Struthio camelus: one gene and its partner. The protein of the gene in region 2 interacts with the protein of the main gene of each other region in a biochemical or structural test. Links are inferred from orthologs where the notes say so. Each region holds a gene or a part of one and is shown on either strand. Other genes may lie near its edges.

Region 1 (3,746 bases), on a different chromosome or scaffold from region 2:
TAACAAAAATCTGTAATATAAAAAATTGAGTAATACTCAAGAACTTAATTTGGCATATAAGCATAAGCATGTAATAGAAAACAGTGCAAAACTACTCTTTATTTCACTCATATTCTTTTTACAGTGATTCAGCAAGGCATTACGCTAAATGAGGTTTCAGAGATGCTGAGTACCTACCAAAGGATTCATTTCCAGATCAGAAAGTGTTAATATTAGAGAAAATTAAAACGAACGGAACAGAGGATGCATTTGGTATAACTGTTTTGGGGGTTGGTGCCACTGAGTCAGCTGGCTGACTTTCATCTCAACCTGTCAGCGTTTTCACCCGTCAGCTCTCCCCCTACCCCCCCTTTGCTTTAAATTAATTATTCCGAAGCTCAGCATAATATATTGACACTAATACCCTCGGCAAGGCAGAGCTTATTCTTAATAGCATTAATACGTTCATGATGGCCGGGATAATTATTTATCATCCTTTCCATGTCGTGCCTAAAGGCGGTCTGGAGAACAACTACCCACCCCGTGCCCTGAAGAGCCCACAACATGCCGGTGTTCATTAGGGCGCGGTAACAGAGCAGCGGCAGGGAGGGCGCTGCGGCCGTTAACCGCCGCCGCCTCCGCGCTGCCAACGGGCCCTGCTTTACCGCCGCTCCGAGGCAGCCTCGGAGGCCCGCTCGGGCGTAACGGCGAGAGGGAAAGGTAACGCGTCCGCAGCGTGAGTCCTCAGGGCCGCGGGACGGAGCCTCTCTGCGCGCCCCGGGCCCGCTCGCGGGTCGCCCCCAGGGCGGCCTGCGGCCCCACGACACCTCCCGGCCCCCTCGCCCGCCCGCCCGCACCGCCGCTCGCTCCATCCGGGCCTCTCCCCCCCCGGCCGTTGGAAGCGTTCGAAACCCTCCAGCGACCAATCAGAGCAAAGCACTCCCTTTCCCCCCCCTTTTTTTTTTTTTTTTTGAGCAACCTGCTCTTAGGCACCACTACAAGGCCTAATCATTTGCCCAGGAAACTTCCGTCCACCAATAGGAGGCCGCCTGGCAACGAGCGGCAGCGGCGGCAGCCAATCCGAGAGGGCAGAAGCCGAAGCCCCTTCCAAAAAGAGCAGGGGAAGGGGGGGCGGGACGTCTCGAGGGGAAGCCGAATGAGGTGGCGGCTTACAGAGCGGCGGCCGGGGGGGGCGCGGCGGACAGCCAATGCGCGGCGCCCTTAGTGCGCCGGCTCGCTTTTTGAATTGGTGTTGGCGGCCGCTCATGGCGGAGGCTGTCTTTGCGGTTGGTGGTCGTGAAGGGGGGCGGGGGAAGCCGGTACCGGGGTGTCGGGGAGCGGGCGGGTTCGGTGCGGGGGCGCGGAGCGGCGTAGCCGGGCCGGAGCCCGGAGAGGCCGAGGCCGAGCCCGAGGCGGGCGGCGCTGGGCTGCGGGCGGCCTGGGGCGGGGCAGGTTGAGGTGGGCCGAGGCGGGGGGTGCGTCTGGGGCACCTGCGAGGCCTAAACCCTCGCGGGTTTAGGCTCATCGCCGCTCCGGGGCCTCTCTGGGCCGGCAGCGGGTTCTTCCCCTGCACCTACTGGCTTCATAACCTTAGAGCAGGTGGCTGTATCTAATCTGGCCTCTGGCCATCTCCCAACACCACAGCAGCCTGGTCACCCTACTAGGTGGTTCCTCTGGAGGGAAACAAACAGCATGATAAGACTAATATTGTCTACTTGCTTAAAAACATATATATTTGGGGGGTGTGGGTGTTCTGAGCTTCAGGCTCTCCCCAGGTGATGGGGGCTGTCCTTTGGAAGTGCACTGGTACCTGAATCCTGTAGTGATGGTGCCTTTTACTTCCTTTTATGTGAAGGGGAAATGCGTTGGTCGTGGCTTTTGTGTGGGCTGTTTGTTCTCTTCTGTTTTTGGCACTATCAATGTCTGAGTACAGTGACTGGTCGTGCTATGTCATTATTTAATCTGTGACAGCTATAACAGAGGGTAGTAAAAAAAAAGTTGGATATGGCTACTATAACAGGATTATTTTAAAAAAAAAATTAGAAAAGCCATAAAAAAAGTTGCATGGGCAGACCACAGTATGGAGTTCTTCCTGATATACTGTGCAATTCTTTGAAAATGCATGCTCATGTGCAAGTTAGTTGGTATAACAACAGCAGTATGATGGGAGTTATATCAGTACTCCTTTGTGGCAGTGTTTTTGTTTTTGGTTTTCTTTAGGGCTTGTAGGATTTTAATTTAATTGCATCCTTAAGTGGAGCTTTTTCTGTGTTTTTTTTTTGTTTGTTTGTTTGTCTAGTTTTCAATAAAATTGCTTGTCCTATAGTAATGACTAACAATGTGGAATCTTCTGAGATTATCCCCTGTCCACATTGCCAAATTAAAAGGTAAATGTATAATAGTTCCTGGTGGTATCTTCATAACCTTCTGGACAGGTGATTCCTAAAGACCTTTTCTGGATGAGGTTACTTTCTCCTTTTGCTAGGTCTCTTTCTTCTGGAAAAGATAAAAATCTAGCTGAGTGGCCAGGACCTACTGCTAGGAAACTTGGTTCCATGCAGCCTGCAAGACAAGGTGGCTGTGCTGTAGGAGAACTAGGACTTCCTTCTGTAAAGGCTTGGGATCCTGGACACAATGCAACTTCTTTGTCGTGTGCCCTTCAGGGATCCACTACTTCAATGCCTGAATGCTGCTCTGGTTTTCTTTGGTTCTTCCCAACCTATTCTTAGTTATCCTTCTCTTCCTTCTTCCCCTATTCCCTCATTATTGTAGTGCCTTTGGTATTTTTGCAGATATGGAGAGAAGAGAGGACCATATTATGCAGAGCTGTGTGTGAGGTTATCAAAGCTGCCACCTTTGTTGCAATTATAGTTGAATATGCCTAGGTTTATGACAGGTTTGTGGTATTGGCATATTGCTCAATGCAATGTCAGGAGCTTATCTGATGCAGTGTGAAGACGTTATATATCCTATCTAAAGTCTCAAACGTGATGTCCTGGATTCTAGAAGATAAACTTCTTTTCTCTGTTGCTGTCACGGCAAAACTCCCAGTTTTCAGCCTTATGACTTTACTTTTCTGCCTAATTGGACAGGCATTACATCACTTGAAAAGTGGTTGATGCTGCTCTCCTGGGGTTTTACTACCTCAGCAGTCTTCCTTCAAACAATGCTTTAGTGTATTATTTTGGGGATGACTTTGTAAAGGGGCATTTATAGTCATAAGGAGAGCTGCTTCAGTCAAAGAGATACAGGGGTTATTTTATGGCAGCAGTTCGGACACAGAGGTTATCCCAGTTATTGCTACCACTGCACAAATGTTTAAATTTGCGTGACTGAGTCACAGGAAATGCATACTTTTGGATTCAAGCACAGAGGAAAATGTGCTACATTTCGGGCAGGTGTCTTGCAATAAATATTCTGATTTGCTACTGTACAAAATATGAAAGGATTAAGATTTTTCCAGTGTGCAGCAAACTTGTTTAATGGGTGGGAAGGGTACTGCTATATTCTGTTTGAGCGAAGGTAAAACCTCTTTATCTGATGAATGAGTACTACTCCTACGTTATAGTTAATGTAGGACAGTACAATAGATCGTACGCTTAGACCTATATGTACGCTTATTAACTCCATAGGCACTTTCATTACTTTTGAAGAACCTAACACTTCCGTGTAAGGTCTGCTGCTTATATTCCCTGGGTGGTCATTTTCATTGACTCCAACGTTAAACCAAAGTAATCCTGGCCAGTTCACCTAAAAAGTGAGATTTT
Region 2 (3,746 bases):
GCTCGCTGAGACGTCCGCCCGTCGCCCTGCAGCAGCAGCACCGGCCTGGGCAGCTCTTTCGCTTGCAGGTCCCTGGGCACCCCGGTTTGGGAGCAGCCCCGACAGCGTGGTTTGAGCGCGATCGCTCCTAAATCCGTTAAGAAGTGACATCTAAAGTGCTACAAATAACCCTCTGATTATCTGCCGAATCCTAACGCTACTCCCTGGAGATAACCAGCTGCGGTTTTTCCCCTGGGCCATGCAATAATCACCCCAATTACTCCCAAGCAGCCGTTGTTAAACGCACGGCCGACGTTTTCCCCTTTGCAAAGCAAAAAATAATTAAGCAGGTGGCGGCGACCGAGGTCGTGTCTGCTCGCCTGCGGGGAAGGAGGGGACCGTCCCTTCCCTCCGCGGTGACGGGAAACCGCGGGAACCTTAGGAGAAACCTAAGGGTTGGGGGGTGACGCGGGGCGCCTGGGGCGGTTTGGGGCGGCCCGCGGCCGGCAGCACCGCCGTTACCCCCCCCCAGCTTATCTCCCCTCCCAGCTTGTATTTCAGCCCAAATATCAGAGGAAGACGGAAGATTAATTTTTGCCGTTTGCATGGGAAAAAAGATTGGGGGGGGGGGGTGAGCCGGACTCCCGGCGGCTTAATCCGCGGCCGAGACCTGCCGAAGGAAACGGCAAAAACGTCTCGGCGTCGGCGAGATCCCGGCGCGGGGAGGGATGCTCGGCCATGGCCGGCATCGGCAGATTAGCATAAATCCTATTAACGGTTTTTAACCGGAGCAAACATGTCGGTGGAGGCATCATTTTCCCGAAACGGGAGCACTTAATAAACGGCCTCGTTCGTGTGTTAAGAGGTTGCTGGGAGGTTTTAGGTTTTGGTGAATGGGAATGTGTGGAAAATGGAGGTTTTGGGGTTTTTTTTTTTTCCTCCCACCGGCCTCGGGCCGGGAAGCCGGGTCCGCGGATTTCCCTCCTCCTCCTCGGGGGTGGAAATTCGCGTATCGGTCTTGCTGTGGTCGGTGCCTGGAGGCCTCCAAAGCCGCAGCCATCGGCGTTTCCTCGGAAGCGAAGGCGATTTTGGACAACGTTTCATCAAATATCTTCGAGGCGCCTGGGGAGCCTCGGAGGGCTGCAAGGGGCCCATCACCCCCCGCATCTACGGGAGTGGTTGACCGCTGTTCCTGGGCTCGGGCCTCGGTGACAAGCCCGGAGGGTGGCGGCACGGACGAGGCGGGGGACGGACACGATTTTGGGGCGATCTGAGGCCTGTCAGCATCCGCCGCCTGCTCCGTTGCTAAGCAACGCAGGCTGGGACCAGGAACCAGCAGTAAAGATGGCGCCGGGCCGGCTTCATCACGCGGCCTCTGGGGTCCCGTCCGCCCTCGCACGAGGGAGTGGAGCAGAGAAGCCACGCCCTCAGCAGACATGGCGCCGGCTCGGCTTCAGGCTGGCGGTGAGCGAAGCCAATGAGCGGCCGGGAGGGCGGGAGAGCGGCCTGTCATTGGCTGGCCGCTGGGATTCAAACCGAAGTGCGGGGCGGTTGGGCCGGGCGGTTGCAGCCGGCGGGAGCTCGCGCCGGGCCGGCGCCTCAGGTGAGCGGGCGGCTGAGGTAAAGCGGGGCCGCTGCTCGGTACCGGGCCTCCGGGGCCCTCGGTACCGGGTCTCGCCCTGCCAGCGAGGCCCTCGCTTGACCGGGAGGAGCCGGGGGTGGGGGGAGCTGCCTCCGGGCCTCGGCGCGGGCCGGCGGCCCGGGCCGTCCCGGCGCCGGTTTCCTCAGAGATTTTCCCCTGAGGGGGCGGTTGTGGCGCCGAGGGCCGGGCCGGGCCCCGGGGGAGAGGGGGAGGCGGCTGTGGGCACCCTTCGTGCTGGCCTCCTTCCCTCACCCGCCCCCGTCGGGCTGGGCAGCGCCGGGCTAGCGACCCTGCTGCCTTTAATGCAACACACGCAATAAAATAAACCCGGGTTTGCTCGCTGACGACCCTGCTGGATAGAGAAGTCATAGCTGTGTTGCTGAGCTGGAGACTTTTTCTCTTCGTTTCTTCTCTTCTGCTATTGTTGCTGCTGTTTGAGGAAAACATGCTGACTGCCCTGAATTTCAAAAGCTGTTTGCTGTGGGAGCTGTAATTTAAAATGCAGCTAAATTTAAAACTGTATTCAAACTCTTCAGAATGCTGCTCCTATTTTTATCTTATGAAATGCTGAAACCTTACAGATCTTAGTGGCCTATATAGTGCCAAGTTACTCATAGCCTGGGTGCGAGTTATGTTCTGCAGCCTTCCAGAAAGAAAGTCATCTTGTCTTGGGGGCTTGAGCCTCTGTAGTATACTGCAGATTACTTGAAGCAATTACTTGCCTCTTCATATTGCTGTTTTTTTTATCCCTGAACTATGGAGGCATGAGGCTGCTCTTAATGCTCTAGGAATTAGTTGAGATGCATATGTCTTGATTAAAATGCTGTCTTTGTTTGTCTTCTTTGGGCTGCTAACCTCTGCTTGAAGGTGGAAGGAGAGGATTGGGCTGGTTATTTAGGTCCATTTTCTTGGCAGGAAGATGGAGACAGCAATGCTGAATTTGCGGAATCTATTTGATCAGCTTATGCGCCAGGCCGAAGTTTTAAGTGAGGGAAACGAATATCGTAAGTCCTGTCTCTGTGGGTAGTTCCAGTGGGCTGCTCTGTGTTTGCTGTGGGACTATAAACGTGCAAACAAACATCAGTGACTGTTACTGGACAATCTGATGGAGCTGTGGGTGATGAGACTGATGTGGGTAGCCAGACTTGTGTGGGGGTTGGTTGATTGGTTTGTTTTTTCATTGTCTAGAAGGATGAAGTCACAGGCTGAACTGGGCAGGGCTGTGCTCTGCTTCTGTAGCAAGCTGACTTCATCCATGCAGAGTCTTGTATGTTCTAGCTCTTCTGGTTGATGCGAATGTGAAGGACTTGGTCTGAAATCTTAGTGAACATCTAGAGTGCAGTTGGCTTTGCTGAAAGGCCAGCTTGTCTGCCTCTTCTGTCAAGGGTGGGTTACATTGATAGATGCCTACTGTCAGCAAATAGAGGCCTGCTGCATTTCCTCTGCTCGCTTTAGCAACTAAAGATTGAAATGTTTTCTACCCAGAATTTATTCAGTTAGCAAAGAACTTTGAAGAGTTTCGGAGAAAGTGGCAGAAAACAGAGCATGAGCTTGCCAAGTACAAGGATCTTCTAATGAAAACGGAAACTGAACGTAGTGCTCTGGATGTGAAGCTGAAACACGCTCGCAATCAAGTGGACGTGGAGATCAAACGAAGGCAAAAAGCTGAAACAGACTGTGAGAAGTTGGTGAGTAATTCTTCATTACCCAGTTAGCTCATTAGACTGCAGAGAGATAGTGGTTAATCTGCATTGATCTATAGAAAATAAGGACTGGCAGCCAAGATAATTGTTTTTTTTTAAAAAAAAAAAAAAAGGGGGGGGAGGGGGCTTGGCTCCTTGTAGTAGCCTTCTGCTTTGAATAGCCTTTTTATAGGCCAAAGCCTATCAGCTGCTGTTTACAGGAGAGCTGCTGTTACCTAGCAGAGCATGGGCTGCTGTCGCTTTGTGGCCGTTAACGTTCTCCTGAGACAAGTTCTGAGAAAGACGATCTGTGCAGTATCTCAAATACTCGAGATTGGTTCATACGGTAATTAAATGTAGTCTATGCTGTGGCAGCTTCTGATGCTACCTACCTTTACAGGAGCGGCAAATACAACTGATTCGAGAGCTGCTCATGTGTGATG

The links.
Region 1: the proteins of RACGAP1 (region 2) and ECT2 form a complex in vitro, tested with the Homo sapiens proteins (3 studies listed by BioGRID and IntAct, with this or other methods). The link is inferred for Struthio camelus from reciprocal best matches to the Homo sapiens genes RACGAP1 and ECT2.

What each region holds. Positions count from the first base shown.
Region 1 is NC_090950.1:27,061,129-27,064,874, reverse strand, and holds the start of ECT2 (protein ECT2), read left to right. Parts: upstream 1-1,142; 5' UTR 1,143-1,265; exon of another isoform or gene 1,266-1,298; intron 1,299-2,278; exon of another isoform or gene 2,279-2,366; intron 2,367-3,746. UniProt on the Homo sapiens protein: Guanine nucleotide exchange factor (GEF) that catalyzes the exchange of GDP for GTP. Promotes guanine nucleotide exchange on the Rho family members of small GTPases, like RHOA, RHOC, RAC1 and CDC42.
Region 2 is NC_090969.1:1,513,672-1,517,417, forward strand, and holds the start of RACGAP1 (rac GTPase-activating protein 1), read left to right. Parts: upstream 1-1,441; 5' UTR 1,442-1,456; coding exon 1,457-1,582; exon of another isoform or gene 1,583-1,599; intron 1,600-2,488; exon of another isoform or gene 2,489-2,540; coding exon 2,541-2,625; intron 2,626-2,899; exon of another isoform or gene 2,900-3,007; intron 3,008-3,106; coding exon 3,107-3,309; intron 3,310-3,703; coding exon 3,704-3,746.